Linked DNA regions of Macaca mulatta. The protein of the gene in region 1 interacts with the protein of each later gene in a pairwise test. Links are inferred from orthologs where the notes say so. Each region holds a gene or a part of one and is shown on either strand. Other genes may lie near its edges.

What was found.
Region 2: the proteins of TRIB3 (region 1) and APOBEC3C interact in binary tests that used the Homo sapiens proteins (3 or more experiments, as listed by UniProt). The link is inferred for Macaca mulatta from reciprocal best matches to the Homo sapiens genes TRIB3 and APOBEC3C.
Region 3: the proteins of TRIB3 (region 1) and ATF4 interact in binary tests that used the Homo sapiens proteins (3 or more experiments, as listed by UniProt). The link is inferred for Macaca mulatta from reciprocal best matches to the Homo sapiens genes TRIB3 and ATF4.
Region 4: the proteins of TRIB3 (region 1) and ATF5 interact in a two-hybrid assay, tested with the Homo sapiens proteins (2 studies listed by BioGRID and IntAct). The link is inferred for Macaca mulatta from reciprocal best matches to the Homo sapiens genes TRIB3 and ATF5.

Annotation. Positions count from the first base shown.
Region 1 is NC_133415.1:83,776,376-83,780,621, reverse strand, and holds the start of TRIB3 (tribbles homolog 3), read left to right. Parts: upstream 1-1,430; 5' UTR 1,431-1,763; intron 1,764-4,246. UniProt on the Homo sapiens protein: Inactive protein kinase which acts as a regulator of the integrated stress response (ISR), a process for adaptation to various stress. Inhibits the transcriptional activity of DDIT3/CHOP and is involved in DDIT3/CHOP-dependent cell death during ER stress.
Region 2 is NC_133415.1:12,545,015-12,549,361, forward strand, and holds the start of APOBEC3C (DNA dC->dU-editing enzyme APOBEC-3C), read right to left. Parts: upstream 2,843-4,347; 5' UTR 2,735-2,842; coding exon 2,718-2,734; exon of another isoform or gene 1,996-2,717; intron 1,353-1,995; coding exon 1,196-1,352; intron 760-1,195; exon of another isoform or gene 390-759; intron 1-389.
Region 3 is NC_133415.1:12,021,319-12,025,199, forward strand, and holds ATF4 (cyclic AMP-dependent transcription factor ATF-4), read right to left. Parts: upstream 2,453-3,881; 5' UTR 1,779-2,452; coding exon 1,553-1,778; intron 1,452-1,552; coding exon 622-1,451; 3' UTR 539-621; downstream 1-538. UniProt on the Homo sapiens protein: Transcription factor that binds the cAMP response element (CRE) (consensus: 5'-GTGACGT[AC][AG]-3') and displays two biological functions, as regulator of metabolic and redox processes under normal cellular conditions, and as master transcription factor during integrated stress response (ISR).
Region 4 is NC_133424.1:62,391,912-62,395,899, reverse strand, and holds the start of ATF5 (cyclic AMP-dependent transcription factor ATF-5), read right to left. Parts: upstream 2,814-3,988; 5' UTR 2,617-2,813; exon of another isoform or gene 2,483-2,616; intron 2,318-2,482; exon of another isoform or gene 2,151-2,317; intron 1,773-2,150; exon of another isoform or gene 1,585-1,772; intron 1,289-1,584; 5' UTR 1,149-1,288; coding exon 971-1,148; intron 1-970.

The DNA.
Region 1 (4,246 bases):
TGTCGCCCAGGCTGGAGTGCAATGGCACGGTCTTAGCTCATTGCAATTCCCACCTCCCAGGTTCAAGCAATTCTCCTGCCTCAGCCTCCCGAGTAGCTGGGACTACAGGCGTGTTTTTTGTATTTTTAGTAATTTTTTGTACTTTTAGTAGAGACGGGTTTCACCGTGTTAGCCAGGATGGTCTTGATCTCCTGACCTCATGATCCACCTGCCTCAGCCTCCCAAAGTGCTGGTATTACAGGCGTGAGCCACCACGTCTGGCCTCTAGAGGAGTTATTTATTTATTTATTTATTTATGACACAGGATCTCACTCTGTCACCCAAGCTGGAGTGCAGTGGCACAATCATGTTTCACTGTAACCTGAACTCCTGGGCTCAAGTGATCCTCCTACCTCAGCTTACCAAGTAGCTGGGACCGCAAGCTCACACCACCATGCCCACTATTTTTTTCTCTTTGTAAAGACAGGGACTTACTACGTCGCCCAGGCTGTTCTTAAACTCCTGGCCTCAAGCAATCCTCCCGTCTTGGCCTCTCAAAGTGCTAGGATTACAGACATGAGCCAGCTCGCCCAGCTGAGGAGTTATATTTTGACACTAGTGAATTCAGATCAAAAGGGATTTCTAAGAAAGGTGCTGGACCCCTGGGACGCAGAGGGATGTTTCACCCCAAAGGAAGTAGCACCAAGCCCTCCCAGGCCTAGGGTGCAAGCATATTAAAGGCCTCTTTCCCTCTCTGTCTCCATTGTCTACACTCCATTGAGCATCCGAAATGTGCCACACACTGTTCTAAGCGTCTTACACATATTACATTATTTAATCCTCACAATAACTTTATGAAGTGAGCACAATTATGAGCCCATTTTATTGAAAAGGAAATTGAGGCAGGGTTTTAGGTAGCTTTTCTGGGGTAGCACTGTGGGTTGGAGGGGAAGGTGGAGTGCACTCTTAGGCCAGCTGGCTCTAGGGGCTCTTCGCCACTAGGCCGCACTGCCTCTAGCAAAGGAACGCGGGGAAGCTCACCAGACCTTAGGCCTCCCCAGGGTGCCACAGTGGTTCTTTTGAGCCCAGAGTCAGCTCTTAGGTCCATAGGCCTTCCTGAAGCTTCTGGACCACTTGCCCACAGCTGGGCCTCAGGCTGGCTCTCAGTAGAAGGGGGAGAATGGAGATTGCCAGATGTCCACTTCTCCTAAAGGTTTTATAAGGCGGTGCTGGTAATGTGCTTTACAAAAGGGGAAGCACCCGGACAACAGTCACTGTTTGCTCTTTTGAGCACCATCCCGAGAAGGAGGAATGTTCTTCCCATTTCATAGGTGGGGAAAGTAAGGCTCAGAAAAGCAAATGTTTTTTTCCAAGGTGATAGGGAGAGTCCGTGGCTGGTGTCTGCACTGAGACCAGACAACCCTAGTGGGCCAACAAGGGCGGGGTCCCCAGGTGCAGCGGAGGAGAGAGGCCCTGGCGGAGCGCGCCCTGGCGGCGACCCGGAGAGGCGGGGCGCGGGGATGGTGCAATCCTGGGCCTGAGGGCATCAGACGGCGGCTGATTAGCTCAGGTTTACATCACCCAGGCTGGGAGCCGGGAGCGCACGAGACTCGCAGCGGAAGTGGGGGCGGCTCCGCACACGTCCGCTGTTAGGACCCGGGCCGGGCTGGAGCTGGACCGGGATCCCGAGCTCGGCAGCAGCGAAGCGGGCCGGCCCACCTGCTGGTACCCTAGAGGCTCTGAGCACCGGCGGCGCCAGGACCCACGCGGGACGGCAGGACAAGGTACTCGGCGGGGTGCGGACTGTGGACTTGCCCGGAGCCTGGGGGATTGGAGCGGGCGGCCGGGGAAGGGGCGCCGGGAGGCTCTGCGCCTCTGCGTGTTGCTGCGTGTTACGCGCGCACACACACAACACCCCTTTTAACAGACTCTGCCGTCGGGGGACACCCTGGGCCTAGTGCTCCCCCCGGGCTTCAGGTGACGCGGCCCCGCAGGGCGTGGGGTCGCCCGAGTTTGGCTGGGGAAGCCAGGGACGGAGGTGTCCGGCTGTCACCCCTAGAGGAGGGTGTGCGAGGGTCTGTTTTGCGTGAGTGTGGGACAGGGGAGTCGTGTGGTGAGGTGAGGGGCTTGTGGGGGGCACTGGAGGACTCTTTATGGGGGTGTCGGAGGATCTGCGGGGGATCTGCGGGGGTCCTCGGGAACCCGTAGGAGAGAGTTCTGGGTGAGGGTGGGTCCCGGGGACCTGTGCCTCCGGGGATGGTGAGAACTGTCTGGAGGGCTGGGCACTTGGTGGCAGGGGTTGGAGGTGCAGGGGACACGGCCGGGAGAGGGCTGGGTGGGGTGCCCTGGGAGCGAACTGAGCGAGTGGTGCGGGAGCCGAACGAGTGGGAGCGAAGTCGCAGCGCGGGATCCCCGGCCGGGCAGCGCCGCTGGTTTTTCCCGCTGCGTGGCTCCGGGTTTGCAGGTGGAAGGTGCGCGTGTGTTTGCGGTGTGTGCTGTGCCTGCAGACCGGGGAGGGCGGGGGACGACAGCCACCTCTTTCCCTCTGCCTCACCCCCTCCTGTCCCAGGGCCGCCCTTCAATTTCCGCTGAAACTTCTGACTGGGACACCGCCGCCTTTCGCTTTCGCTCCCGCTGAAGGGGGCCTGGCTGCGGGGGGCGGGGCGGGGGGTGGTGGGGCCGGCCTTGCTTGTGTAGACCATGGGTGTGATAGCTGGGAGGGCTGTGTGTGTGTGTGTGCGCGCTAACGCTTACCCGTGGAGGGCAAGGGTGTGTCACTTAATGTCTGTCTTCCCTGGATGTGTTGTCGCTGGCTGGCTTAGACAGTGTCTCAGGGGTGTGTGTACACCTGTGAGCGCGCGCACGCTTGATGTAACCCGCCCTCATTTCCCTGGGTCTCGAGTATGGCAGGAAACAGCAAGAGGTAGATATTAGGGGCTGCTTTCATTCCACAGCACAGATTCTATTCTGCAGTGTGGTCTGCAAAATGCCTTGCCCAAGATTTATAGACTCAGTTACCCCATCTGTCCCCATCTGGGTGGAGCTTATCCCAGGCCCCAACAGGCTCTGAGGGATGACTGGGGCCAAGGCAGCCTGGAGTACTGATGTGGCACAGGCCAGAGGGACTTCAGGCAGTCTCCTGCTGCACAGGGCACAAAGCATGTGCACGGCCAGGTAGCATCCTGCGGGACTCAGAACAGCCTTGAGACTGTTCTGTCATCCCAGCCTCGAACCTGGGGAGCTTTCTAAGACTCCCAAGGATGGTACTTAAGCATCTTGCTGTGAAGAACAACAGGATGAGTGCTAATAGTGACCATTTCCTGACACCTACCCTGCAACAGGTCTATAAGCTCTACGTGCTTCATTTGTTTTTTCATTTCATCATCACTAAAAACCTGTAAACTTTGCATCCTGTTCCCACTTTACAGGAACTGAGGCTCAGAAAGCTTGAGGAACTTGACCAGGGGTACCCCCCAGCTAGAAAGGGTCTGAGACAGGATTAGAACCCAGGAATATCTGACTAAGCCACTCCTTACTGCGTTCTTACCAAGCCAAAGTCATGACCTTTCACTCATGTGGGGAGACCTTCCCTTCCAAGGCAGCTCTTCCGTTTAGGAGCCGCGTACTTGGAGAGGTGGGCCTCTGTCTGGTAACTGACTCATGTTTCCCTGTTCATCCTGCCTTGAACTGTTGGGAAGGTCTTTCACCAGGCTGAGGTCCCTCTCGCACCAGTGCTCAGACCTGGGCATGCACATCCTTGGAATGGAGTTTAAGTGGGTGGGCAGATGGGTTCTAGAGAGAACCTTCCTGCCCTGACATGCCCTACTGCCCTCTCCTTCAGCCACCCCACACACAGTCACACAGCTGCGTGGATGGTGGCTTTCTTTTCATTTAACAGTTCACTCTGGAGATCCTTTCGATTAGGCTATAAACAGCGTCCTCAACCTTTTAAATGGCTGCAAATTTTTCCGTTGTGTGGATGAAGTATAATTTATGTAACTAGCCCTGTAATTATAGACAGCAAATTATTTCTGTCACAAGGGCTGCAGGATAACTTTGTATTTGCATGCTTACACAAGCACACTTCTACAGGATACATTCTAGCAATGGGATTAATTGCTGAATCAAAACTCACACACTTCATTTTTTTTGTTTGTTTGTCTTTTTGAGACATTCTCACTTTGTCACCCAGGCTAGAGTGCCTAACCATGGCTCACTGAAGTCTTTACCTTCTGGGGTCAAGTGATTCCCCTACTTCAACTTCCTG
Region 2 (4,347 bases), about 71 Mb from region 1:
TCTTTATTCTTTTATTTTTATTTTTTTCTGAGATGGAGTCTTGCTCTGCCACCCAGGCTGGAGTGCAGTGGCACAATCTTGGCTCACTGCAACCTCTGCCTCCCAGGTTCAAGCGATTCTCCTGCCTCAGCCTCCTGAGTAGCTGGGATTATAGGCATGCACCTCCACACCTGGCTAATCTTTGTATTTTTAGTAGAGATGGGGTTTCATCATGTTAGCCAGGCTGGTCTCGAATCCCTGACCTCATGATCTGCCTGCCTCAGCCTCCCAAAGTGCTGGGATTACAGGCATGAGCCACTGCACCGTGCCCGGCCCCTTCCTTCTTTATTTTATTGAGTCTTTCCCTGTCTCATAGACTTATGTGTGAATTCTGCCATATTTTCTCCCAGCTATCCATTCACCAGGCATCCTCAGCCCCTGCTATGGCCTGGCCCTCTGGGGTCTGCCTTGGTCCCTGCCTGCCTTCTGCTGAGGAATCAGGGCAGTGGCAGGGGCGGCCCCACGAGCCCAGCAGTGACTGGCCCAGACACAGAGCTGGACACCACACCCCCTGCTTCCCACAGCTGCTGTTTCCCGAGGACTGCCGGATGTACAGCTCCATGACAAGATTTTGGGGAACAAAGTCAAGAGTGAGGGTGCTGGGTGCTAAACAAGGCCTTTTGGGAAGAAGCAAAACCCCTCCACAATCTGATCACAGGAGAGTCAGGGAGGAAGATCTGGGCCACGGACTTAAAAAATGTGGGGAGGAGGCCAGACATGGTGTCTCACGCCTGTAATCCTAGCACTTTGGGAGGCCAAGGCTGGTGGATCACTTGAGGTCAGGAGTTTGAAACCAGCCTGGCCAACATGGTGAAATCCCATTTGTACTAAAAATACAAAAAAATTAGCTGGGTGTGGTGGCAGGCACCTGTAATCCCAGCTACTTGGGAGACTGAGGCAGGAGACTCACTTGAACCCAGGAAGCAGAGGTTGCCGTGAGCTGAGATAGCGCCACTGCATTCCAGTCTGGGTAACAGAGCGAGACTCCATATCAAAAAAAAAAAAAAAAAAAAAGAAAGAAAAAAGAAAAAAAAAAAAGACATGTGGCAAGAAAGTACACACAGGAGAGCCCGCACCAGGCACGTCACTTATTGTGTTTTCTGCATTCCCAGCTGCTTAGCTCCTATTTGGGGTGCAACTAAGACTTTGGTGCTACCTGGTTTCGGAAGACGCCCGTCTCCCAGGAGACAGTTGAGTGCTGCTTTATAACTTCCACGGTGAAGCACAGCCAGGTTTCGTTCCGATTGTTGGCTTCCCATAGGTTTTTAAATTGGAAGTAGAATGTGCCTGGATCCATTGCCTTCATCGGGTTTCTGAGGGCACAAGAGAGAAACCCCAATGCAGAGACCCCCCCCGCCGGAGTCCTGGGGGCTGATGCCCACTGAACACCACTCCCTAGACGGCCCTGGGCTCTGGGCCTCCCCCATCCCTCCGCAGTCCTGAGAATGTCTGCTGCTTTCCCAGGCAGGAAGACTGGGAGAGAGAAAGAGGAGGCGATGCTGGCAGGGGCAGCAGGGCTGCAGTGACCTCTCCCATCTGGAACCCCAGCTCTGGGGCTACCAATGGGACACCCTCAACCTCCCAGTTTTTCTGCCACACATCTCCCAACCCATTAGGAAAATGCAACAGACAATAAAATTCTTCACCCTGAAATAATTGCTTGAACATTTCAGCTCAGTTCCTTCCTCCCATTTCACCTGTCCGATGATGATATCACACCGAATTCCCCAGGCCAAGGCTACCTTTATTTATTTATTTTTTTTAAGATGGCATCTCGCTCTGTCCCCCAGGCTGGAGTGCAGTGGCACAATCTCGGCTCACTGCAACCTCCGGCCCCCGGGTTCAGGGATTTTCCTGCCTCAGTCTCCCAAGTAGCTGGGATTACAGGTGCCCGCCACCACGCCTGGCTAATTTTTTGTATTTTCAGTAGAGACGGGCTTTCACCATGTTAGCCAGGCTGGTCTCGAACTCCTGACCACAAGTGATCCACCCGCCTTAGCCTCCCAAAGTGCTAGGATTACAGGCATAAGCCACCGTGCCCTGGGTAAAATAAGGGTATTTGTCCTAATCATCATATTTTTTCTACATTCCATGTTACCAGGGTCATTTTAAAAGGGGAATGGTGCTCACGAAGGAGGAGCCTGTGTCTGGGGTCATATGCATCCTCCTCTGTTCACACTGGTGGCATCTTTGGAAGAAATGCCTTATTTTCTGGTACAGAGACCATTCCCTCCCCCACACCCTCTCCTAAGACTTTATATTGAAACAAAGTAAATCTTACAGAAATTTCATCAAAGTGCTGAGAACAAAATGTCGGATTGACCCAATCATCCTTTGGTTCAATTCTCCCAGTTCCAGAGCTCAGGAATGGTGGGAAGCGCACAGAGGGAGCACCCTCCCAGGGTGGGGAGCACCAGCCCGCTGGTGACTTTCTGGGGAGAGTCTCAGCAGGGGGCCTGGGCTGGTGCAGGTGGGGAAGGTGGCCCATTCAGAAGCAGCAGTGGGGCGACCACACAGCAGGGCAAGGAGCCTGGCTGGGAGTGTCGGCGGCGGGGGAGACAGAGGGGAGGGAGCCCAGAGGTGGGGCTGGGGCAGGGGGAGGCCAGGGCTGAGACCCAGCAGGACCACCAGGCAGGAAGGGGCAGGAGGGGCCTGGCAGACAGAGCGGGCAGAGGTACCTGATCTGTGGATTCATGTTCGGCCTCTTAGATACGCTTGTCCAGTCCCACTCTTTTCTGAAGTGCTGTGGCTTCTCTTCCCGTTTACAGAGTCCTTGCAGTTGGGCAGCCCTCTTTAAAGTGACCTCCCAGGGCCTTGTGAGTCATGGCCCCTCCCCGTTCCTGCTCAGGCACTGGTGTGGGAGACCCTGGGGTGCTTTACGTTTCTCTGACTCTGGCCCTCTTTCTGGTTTTCTTCTGGCCCCTCCCACTGGCAGAGGAAGCTCAGACAAAGACAGGCTGCTCTGTCTTTATCTGTCTTGGGCAGGACCCAACGGAATTGCAAAGAGAAAGAAAGAGAAAGAGAAAGGCATTGCAGCCAGAGCCTGGGAGGCGGGTCCAGACCAGGCTGAGAGAGGGGCAGGTGCCCCCTTGTCTGGTGGATGGACAGGCTGGAGCCCCCTCTCCACCGCCCCCTCCCCAGCCCTAATGTGTGCCCAGAACTTGGAGCAGCACCTCCCTGTTGAGTGAGGGAGGTTTTGAGACTCCAGTGGGGAAGGAAGTGTGGACTCCGCACAGCACAAGTGAAGGCTTAGGTGTGCCTCAAGTTCCCAGCTGTGTGCTGGGTCCATTGCATGCCTTCCCTCTTCCAACCTCCCAGCTTCCAGAAGGTGGGGCGCAGGTCAGCCCCTCAGAGGTGTGGGTGGAGGATGACCCAGGTGCTGAGGCAAGAGACTGAAGGCACAAACTGTTTCAGTATAGTAAAGAATATACTTACAATAAGAATAGTTATAATACAAATTAGATGTAGAGATCATCATGGACATTATCAATCATTAGTATAGACATTAATCATTAGCTTTTAATATTACTCTTTATTACTCTTTAATATTACACTCCTTTATTAAGAGTAATATCAATATTATTATGTAACTGGTGGGTATATGGTCAAGTGCTGAAGGGATGTTGTGAGAAATGACCGAGAATACAAGAGGTGAGCCCTCTGTCCCACCTGCGTAAGGGCCGCTTGAAGGCTCCTTGGTCAAGCGGTGACGCCCCTGCCAAGAGAGCACCCGTTACTTAGCAGACCGGGAAAGGGAGTCTCCCTTTTCTTGGAGGAGTCAGGGAACGCTCTGCTCCACCCGTTTCTTGTGGGAGGCTGGATCTTATCCAGGCCTGCCCGCAGTCATCCGGAGGCCTAACCCCTCCCTGTAGTGCTGTGCTTTAATGGTCACGCTCCTTGTCCACTTTCATGTTCCTCACGTACTCCTGGTTCCTCTTTGACGTTCTTAGAAGATAGCGGTAGAAGAAATAGTGAAAGCCTTGAAGTCTTTGATCTTTCTGATAAGTGCATAGAAGAAAACGCTGACGTACGCTGCCTTCCCTCTCTGCTTTGACTACCTGTAGGGAAGGGCCCCCTGTTCTATGATGACGTTACTTGCTTGACCTTATCAATCACTTGGACGATTCACCCTCCTAACCCTGCCCCCTTGTTTTGTGTGCAATAAATAACAGTGCGCCCAACCATTTGGGGCCACTACTGGTCTCCATGTCTTGGTGGTAGTGGTCCCCCGGGGCCCAGCTGTTTTCTCTTTATCTCTTTGTTTTGTGTCTTTATTTCTTACAATCACTCGTCTCCACACACGGGGAG
Region 3 (3,881 bases), about 72 Mb from region 1:
TCCTTCCACCCCATAAGGAGAAACGGAGGCCAACCCTCAGCTCCTGTCCTGCTTCAGCATCAATTCCGAAAAGGAGCCATTTCTTTCTTCAGGAACACGTTTCTACAGAACTCAGGGTAACAAGTGAAAACTAATCTTGTGTGCTTATCTCAAGGACTGTGCAAGCTTATCCAGGGTTTCAGGCGACAGCTGTTGGCATGAAGCCCTCTTGAATAAATAGGTAAGAGGCCCAGGCTGTCCCTCCCTCCCAACCTCTCAGAGAGCTCCAGCCTCCTCCCTACACAACCAGCGAACTCACCTCTGGGTAAAGGACCCAACTTGCTACAGTTGGCCAACTATCCGGCTGTATGGCCCCATGAGTCATCAGACATCGTGGCTTACACCTAGCAGGGCGAGCAGTTCCCACTCTGGGTACCCATCTTCAGTCCTGGACTGCCCTCCTCCCCAGATCTCACAAGGAATGTTATAACCAGTTTGGGATGCGTGGTTGGCGCCTCACTCGGCTAATTTGCCAGAAAAGGAATTCACACAAGTACTTTCCCTACAAAATAATTTATTCCAACACACAGCAACAGCAGAGACTCTATGTACAAGCACACTGACGCTCCTGACTACCCTCAACTAGGGGACCCTTTTCTTCCCCCTTGCCTTGCGGACCTCTTCTATCAAATCTTTCAGGTACTGGATCTCCTTGGCCAGGGAATCCGCCCTCTCTTTTAAAGCCTCATTCTTCTTTTCCAGCTCTTTGCACTCGCCAGTGAGGGCCTCCTGCTCCGCCCTCTTCTTCTGGCGGTACCTAGTGGCTGCTGTCTTGTTTTGCTCCATTTTTTTCAGCTTCTTATCCAGTTTCTCACCCTTTACTTTTGCTTCTACCATCTTCTCTCCAGGAGGGTCGTAAGGTTTGGGGCGGGCAGAGCCACAGAGAACACCTGGAGATGGGAGGCTCCTATTTGGAGAGCCCCTGGTAGACGGGCTATGCTGAGGAGAGCCCAGATAGGACTCCGGGCTCATACAGATGCCACTATCATTATCTGAGGGGGTGTCTTCCTCCTTTATGCACGGAGGGATCATGGCAACATAAGCAGTGGCATCTGGCTTCCTATCTCCTTCAGTGATATCCACTTCACTGCCCAGCTCTAAACTAAAGGAATGATCTGGAGTGGAGGACAGGACCCCTGGGGAAAGGGGAAGAGGTTGCAAGAAGGTGAAGGGGGCAACCTGGTCGGGTTTTGTTAAACTTTCTGGGAGATGGCCAATTGGGTTCACCGTCTGTGGGGGCTCCTTGTTAGTCTCCTGGACTAGGGGGGCAAAGAGATCACACGTGTCATCCAACGTGGTCAAAAGGTCATCTGGCATGGTTTCCAGGTCATCTATACCCAACAGGGCATCAAAGTCGAACTCCTTCAAATCCATTTTCTCCAACATCCAATCTGTCCCGGAGAAGGCATCCTCTGCAAAAGATTTGAATGACAGGGCCAAGTGAGTCAGATACAAAGATAACAGGCCCCTAACCCTAGATCCCACCCAGACGATGTGGTGGTGGCCCACTCACCCTTGCCGTTGTTGGAGGGACTGACCAACCCATCCACAGCCAGCCATTCGGAGGAGCCCGCCTTAGCCTTGTCGCTGGAGAACCCATGAGGTTTGAAGTGCTTGGCCACCTCCAGGTAGTCATCTAAGAGACCTAGGCTTTCTTCAGCCCCCAAACCCGACTGGTCGAAGGGGGACATCAAGTCCCCCACCAACACCTCGCTGCTCAGGAAGCTCATTTCGGTCATGTTGCGGTGCTTTGCTGGAATCGAGGAATGTGCTTAATTCGAAGATGTCTTTGTCGGTTACAGCAACGCTGCTGCTGAATGCCGTGAGAAGCCTGAATGGGAATCAGAAGCCAACTCCCATTAGAGGTTAGCTGGTCTGAGAATTTCATCTTTCCACTTACGAGGCGGGACTTCTCTAGTCCAGCCATCTATAGAGTCGGCAACGGGGCAGTTGCATCCGCCCCTCCCTGCTGCGGCTCAGGTTCCACAAAATGGACGCTCACGGAGACCAGGCGATTCTTCCACCGGCCACCAAGAGGAAGGCGCTCCGTCCCCGCGTCCAAATAAGGCCAGGGCGGCCGCGCCCCGCCCACCGCCCGCCCTTGACTCACGCCCGCGGCGCCGCCCTGCCGCCGCCATCTTGGTTCTTGCCACGTTTCGCGGGGGGGAAAGCCGAGACCCCTGGGACCCTTGGGGGACTCGGGGTCCGAGGGCGGCAGGGCCCCTGTGGAAGCAGTCCTGGCACCAGAATGCGCCTTCCCGATCCCGGGCACGCGAGCGTCTCGGGGACACCCAAGCAAAGACCACGCGTCCCGGGCGCTCGTAAAATCGCTTCCTCCTTGGCGGCACCGCCCCGGCCCCAGGCCGCACCCCACCAACCCAAATCCTGCGCCGGCCCAGGGAGCACAGCTGGACGACCCGCCCTGGTACTCACGCCATGGCTTAAGCCGCTGGGGGGGGTGCCGCTGCAGAGCCTGGTGCTGCTGCCGCCGCTGCAAAGGCCAATGCTGCCGCAGGCACTGCTGCCCCTAATACGCCATGGTGGCCGTGGACCCTGCGGGCGGGGAGGAGGGAAGGCGCACACGTGCAAACCAAACTACATTTGTGGGCGGACGAAGTAGAAATGGCCGCAGCAGCCGCCCGCCGGCCCTTTATAGACTTCGTCTCTAAGGGGACGCAGCACCGACGCATCCTTCCGCCACGGCCACGTGACCATCTCCTCCCGCCCGCTCGTTTCCCTCCCTTTGACGCCCCAACCGTTTATGCCCAGCGCGTAGCTGTGACGAGAAAAGGTGTTTGTTCTTATGACCTCACGAAACGAGAGAGGTGCACTACTTTACTAGACTTCTATGATCAGAGTCCGTTCTTTCCTTCGCCGCCGGAGCGCGGAGTGATCTCGCAGACACGCCTCGCTTCCGGTGTCGGCGCGGTGGGCGGGGAGAGGTCGTTTTCCGGCGGAGAGTTTTTATTGTGAAGGCCGAGGAAGCCAGGTTATCGCGCGAGGTGCTGGCGAAGAGCGCGCGTCAAGTTGATTGGCCCAGGCACGGTGAGTCATATATACCTCGAGCTCTTATTGGCTCAGGGCCCCAGGTGGGCGGCTGCTGGGAGAGGGATCACGGAGTCCGCGTGGTAAGGGTCGGGGTCTCGGGTCTCTGCCAGGCCTCAGGCCGGCCAGCCTGCTGGCCAGCTACAATCGCACTGGCTCCTGCCCCCAGGAGACCTTAGCCTAGCGCACCCCATAGTGGCCTCAGGGCCCAGCCCCTGCGGTCGGGTCCCGCCGCCCTCAGTGGAGGTCCGCCACTGGCGGCCCCGCCGCCACTCCCAGCCTGCGCGTCCTTCGGTTGCGGGGGCTGATTTCTGGCCTGCGGAAACCGGGGGGTTACCTGTTCCAAGCCTGAGTTTTCCAGAGACGCCATTCATAGCCGATACGGTGTTGCTGCCCCCGGGAGGTTGAAGGGGTCTCGAGAGGGCGCCTCGGGCCTGCCCACCTACACCCAAAGGCCAGCTGAGTCTGCATGGCTCCGTCTAAACTCTGGAAAGGAGCCGGGAAGACGCGCCGTCCTGTCTCCCAACCTGGGTTTTTACAATTCTCATCCGGCTCAAGTGCGAGGCTGCCACAGAATAGCATCATAGGGGAACTTCTGGTGTCCGAAGATTGCGTTCCCCTAAGAACAGAATTTTCTTCGCTGCCATCTACCTGGGGTAGTTTCGATTCACTCCGGGTTCTGAACTCCCCGGCCTAACCCGCTTTTCGGTGGTCATGCCCATGGCCCTGGGAGGAGAGGCGCTTGGGAACCCACGGCCACGTGCTCGGGGTTGTGCGTTGGGAAGGGGGGGTAGTCT
Region 4 (3,988 bases), on another chromosome or scaffold:
AAGACAGAACCAGCCAACCAACCAGTGACTCAACCAACAGTCAATTAAGCATTTCTTCAACCATTCCAACATCTCCTTTACTGAGTACTCTGTATCTGTGGTGTCTGTATTTACTCTGTTCTTAAAAGGCAAACTAGATCACATTACACACAGATACACCTTGTTTCATCTTTACTCATTAATTACTGAAAACCCACGATGTGCCAAGCATTTGGGATACAGTAATGAATACAATGATTCCTGCCTCCTGAGGGCTTCTGCGTATGCAGTTCCCTCCAACTAAAATGCTCTTCCCTTGGGTGTTTTCCTGGCTCATTCCTTTCCTTTTTTTTTTTTTTTTTTAAGGGATAAGATTTCACTCTGTTGCCCAGGCTGCAGTGCAGTGGCATCATCTTGGCTCACTGCAGCCTAGGCCTCCCAGGCTCAAGCGATCCTCCCACCTCAGACTCCTAAGTAGCTGGGAGTACAGGCATGCGCCACCATGCCTGGCTAATTTTTTTTTTTTTTTTTCCCTATAGATATGAGGCCTTGCTATGTTGCCCAGGTCCTGAACTCCTGGACTAAAGCAATTCTCCCTCCTCAGCCTCCCACAGTGCTGGGATTACAGGCCACCACGCCTGGCTTCCTTCCCATCCTTTATGCCTCCATCAACATGTTACCTACTTAGAGAAAGTTTTCTGGCTACCCACTCTGAATTAGGTCCCCTTTGTCATTTTGTAGCTCAGCTGCTAAGTGTTTCTGACTTATTCCAATACACTCTCATTTAATTTGCCTCTGGTCTACTCTCCACAGTATGAGCTGCTGGAGGGCACAGACCATGTTCTTCTTGTTTCCAGCTGTATCCTCAGCACCTAAAACAGTGCCTGGCACATTGTAGGCACTCAACATTTAATGAATACATGGATGAGTTTTTCCTCCCCCATCTTCCCCTGCCCTCCACTCCCCTGCTCCACCTTCCACCTGCCCTTACCTGCCAGGGGCTCTCCCCCCACTGGAAGCCCGCCCTCCAGGGCTCCCCCAAGGACCTCATAAGGAGCCACGGGGGCAGGGGCAGGGGGGAGTTTCCCATAGTCTACGAGCCATCCCAGCCCACTAGCTGGGAGCAGGGTCCTGTCCAGCTCCAGCCCCAGGGTGGCCAGGAGTGACATGGCTGTAGCACAGGTGCAGGGCGCTGTAGCACAGGTGCAGGGCACTGATGGCAACAGGAGCGGCTGCACCAGCAGCTGGGACGAGGCTCTGGAGGATGCTCAGCTGGATGAAGACAGGCACCAAGGCGAAAGTGGAAGACCTACACGTGTGAGACAAGAGTGGGTGGGGTCGTGGGGTCAGGAAAGCCTCATCCACCGGCCAAAATCATGGGGAAGCCAAGCCACACCCCCAGGCACGTCCACGGGGCTCCTCCCTCCCCCTTCCAACCACAGTTTATAACTAAGCCTCAGCCTCTCCGAATTCTAAATTTGCCCTTTCTTTACCCAAATCTGAGCCCCACCCACTCCCAAGGGAATTTCTTTAGGTCCTAAGGTAGGACCGATGCCCCACCCTTTCCCCCAATACAGAAACCTAAGGGTCTCCCAGGGGAATTACCTTAGGCCCCTCCCATCCACCTCAGAATATTCCGCTTCATGGAAAAACTCAATTCCAGGGACATTTTCTTCCAGCCACGCCCCTTGCCCTAAAATATTTCCTTTTGGCCCCACTGCCTTCCTAGCTTCCATCCCAAACCAGTGCCCAGGGGAACTGCCCCAGGCCCCAGCCCTTCAGCAATGTTATCCACTCAAATCCCACTCCTCGCTTTGCCACTGTCCCTCCAAGCCCCGCCCCTCATTGTTTATTTAGCTCCGCCCCTCTCCGATTCCCCAGAGGCCCCGCCTCTTTGTCCCATCGAAGCCCCACCCCTCAGCTAAAGGTTGGCTTAGCCCCGCCCCTTCTCACAATGGGCTCACGAAATCCCACCCATCGTGACGACAGTGGTTCTAGCCCCACCCACTTAGAGGGCTGCCTCTAAGCCCCGCCTTCTCCCCTGTCAATCTAAGCCAGTCCCCGCCTCAGCAGGTGCCTGGTTTAAAAGGAAGGAAGTTGGGCTGTGAGCCAGAGCAACGTGGAGCAGGGAGGGTGGAGGAGGGTAGAGGGGGCAGGCAGAGAACTGCTACCCGAACGCCAGCCGTCCACACGCGGCTATGCGCCAAGGGCCAAAGCGCATGCTACGTCTTCCGAGCTGTCCAATTGCTTTACACCTCCGCCTTCTTGGGGATCAGTGCGCATGCGCGGACACTCAGGGCCCGCGCTCATTCATTACGGGGCACTGGTAGGCTACTGCGCAGGAACAACCAAGCACGCACAGAATCGTTTAGAAAAAGACCACACCCTCCCTTGGAGTGCGCAGGCGCAGCCACACGCCGGCTGACAAACATCGAGTCTCTAGAACTCTCCCACCCGGCTCCGGGCCCAGTGCGCATGCGCAGCCGCGCGCCTTCGGCCCACCGTACCTCTTCTGCGCCTGCGCGACCGTGATTCCCCGCTCGCAGCTCCCCTCCCCCCAGGGCTCCCTAAAGAGGGCCACGAGCTGCGAAAGGGCGGGAAAGGCGGTTGGAGAGGGACAAGTAAGCGGTTACTCACTCCATGGCTGCAGAAAGGAGAGGCGGCGGCGGCCTCGGCTGAAGAAAGAAGGTGGGAGCGGAGAGCGCAGGCGTGGTAAGCGCGGAGTCGGGCTGGGGGCACAAAGGGGTCGAGGCTACAGAGCCATGGCTGGGGCTACGCAGGCGGAGGCGGAGAACGCTGTAGTTAGAAGAGACCGTGATCTGAGGACGGGGAATGAGGCGGCCCCGGGGACTGGGGACAGAAATACTTCGGGTGGCGCAGCATGGCCCGCCCGGATCCTTCCGCGCCCCGCCCTCGCGGGGCCCCAACTGGGTGGCAGCCCGGTCCCCTCCTCCTGGGGATCAGGGGATCCGACCTCTTCCTTCCCACTCCTAGGGTCCAGGCCCCTCCTCCCTTTTGAGCCAGGGATCCGGCCCTCTCGTAGCTCCGGGGTCTGGTTTCCTCCTAAACTCTGGTTTCTTTCTTTTTCTGCCTGTGAGGTCTGGGCCTGCTTCCTCCTGTGATTTTGTGGATCCAGTCTCATTCTCTTCCCGGAGACCTGCACCATTTAATTTCTGTTTCCCTTTCCCTGCTTGCAGAATTTCCTGCCAGCCACACTTTTCATGTTTTCATCCCCCAACTGCTGACCCCGAGAAACCCTCGTGGGTTAGAGTCCAGCGTGAGTCACAGCACTCTCCCAAACACAGACCTACCAGGATGGCCTCGGGCAAATAGCTTAAGTTCTCTTGCTTCATTTCCCTATCCGTAAAATAAGAAAAATCAGCTCTCCTGGTGGGTTTATGAAACTCAAGACGGTGTCTGGCAAGCCTTATGCACAGAGTTCAACTCATACGTTCCTGTTCAATTTTTTTTTTTTTTTTTTTTTTGGTGAGATGACGTCTCTCGGTCTCTGTCGCCCAGGCTGGAGTGCAGTGGCGCGATCTCGGCTCACTGCAAACTCCGCCGAGTTCACGCCATTCTCCTGCCTCAGCCTCCAGAGTAGCTAGGATTACAGGCGCCCGCCACCACGCCCGGCTAATTTTTTGTATTTTTAGTAGAGACGAGGTTTCACCTTGTTAGCCAGGATGGTCTCGATCTCCTGACTTCATGATCGGCCCGCCTCGGCCTCCCAAAGTGCTGGGCTTACAGGCGTGAGCCACCGCGCCCGGCCTCAACATATTTTATTGGGGCCCAGCCTCACTTCTTCTTTCCCCCTTACAAGAGCCGCAGACGTTGGACTGTCTAACTCTTGCTGTCGTTCTTCTGTCTCCCTCATTCCTCTGAAGTGTCTGTTTCCGGCCATCCTCATCTTCCGTTCCAAATGATGGGTGCCCAGGCCCCATCCCCTGGCAGGGATTCAGACATCGAGGCCCCAGCTGCGTCCTTTTCTCCATCCCTTGCCCTTGGCTTC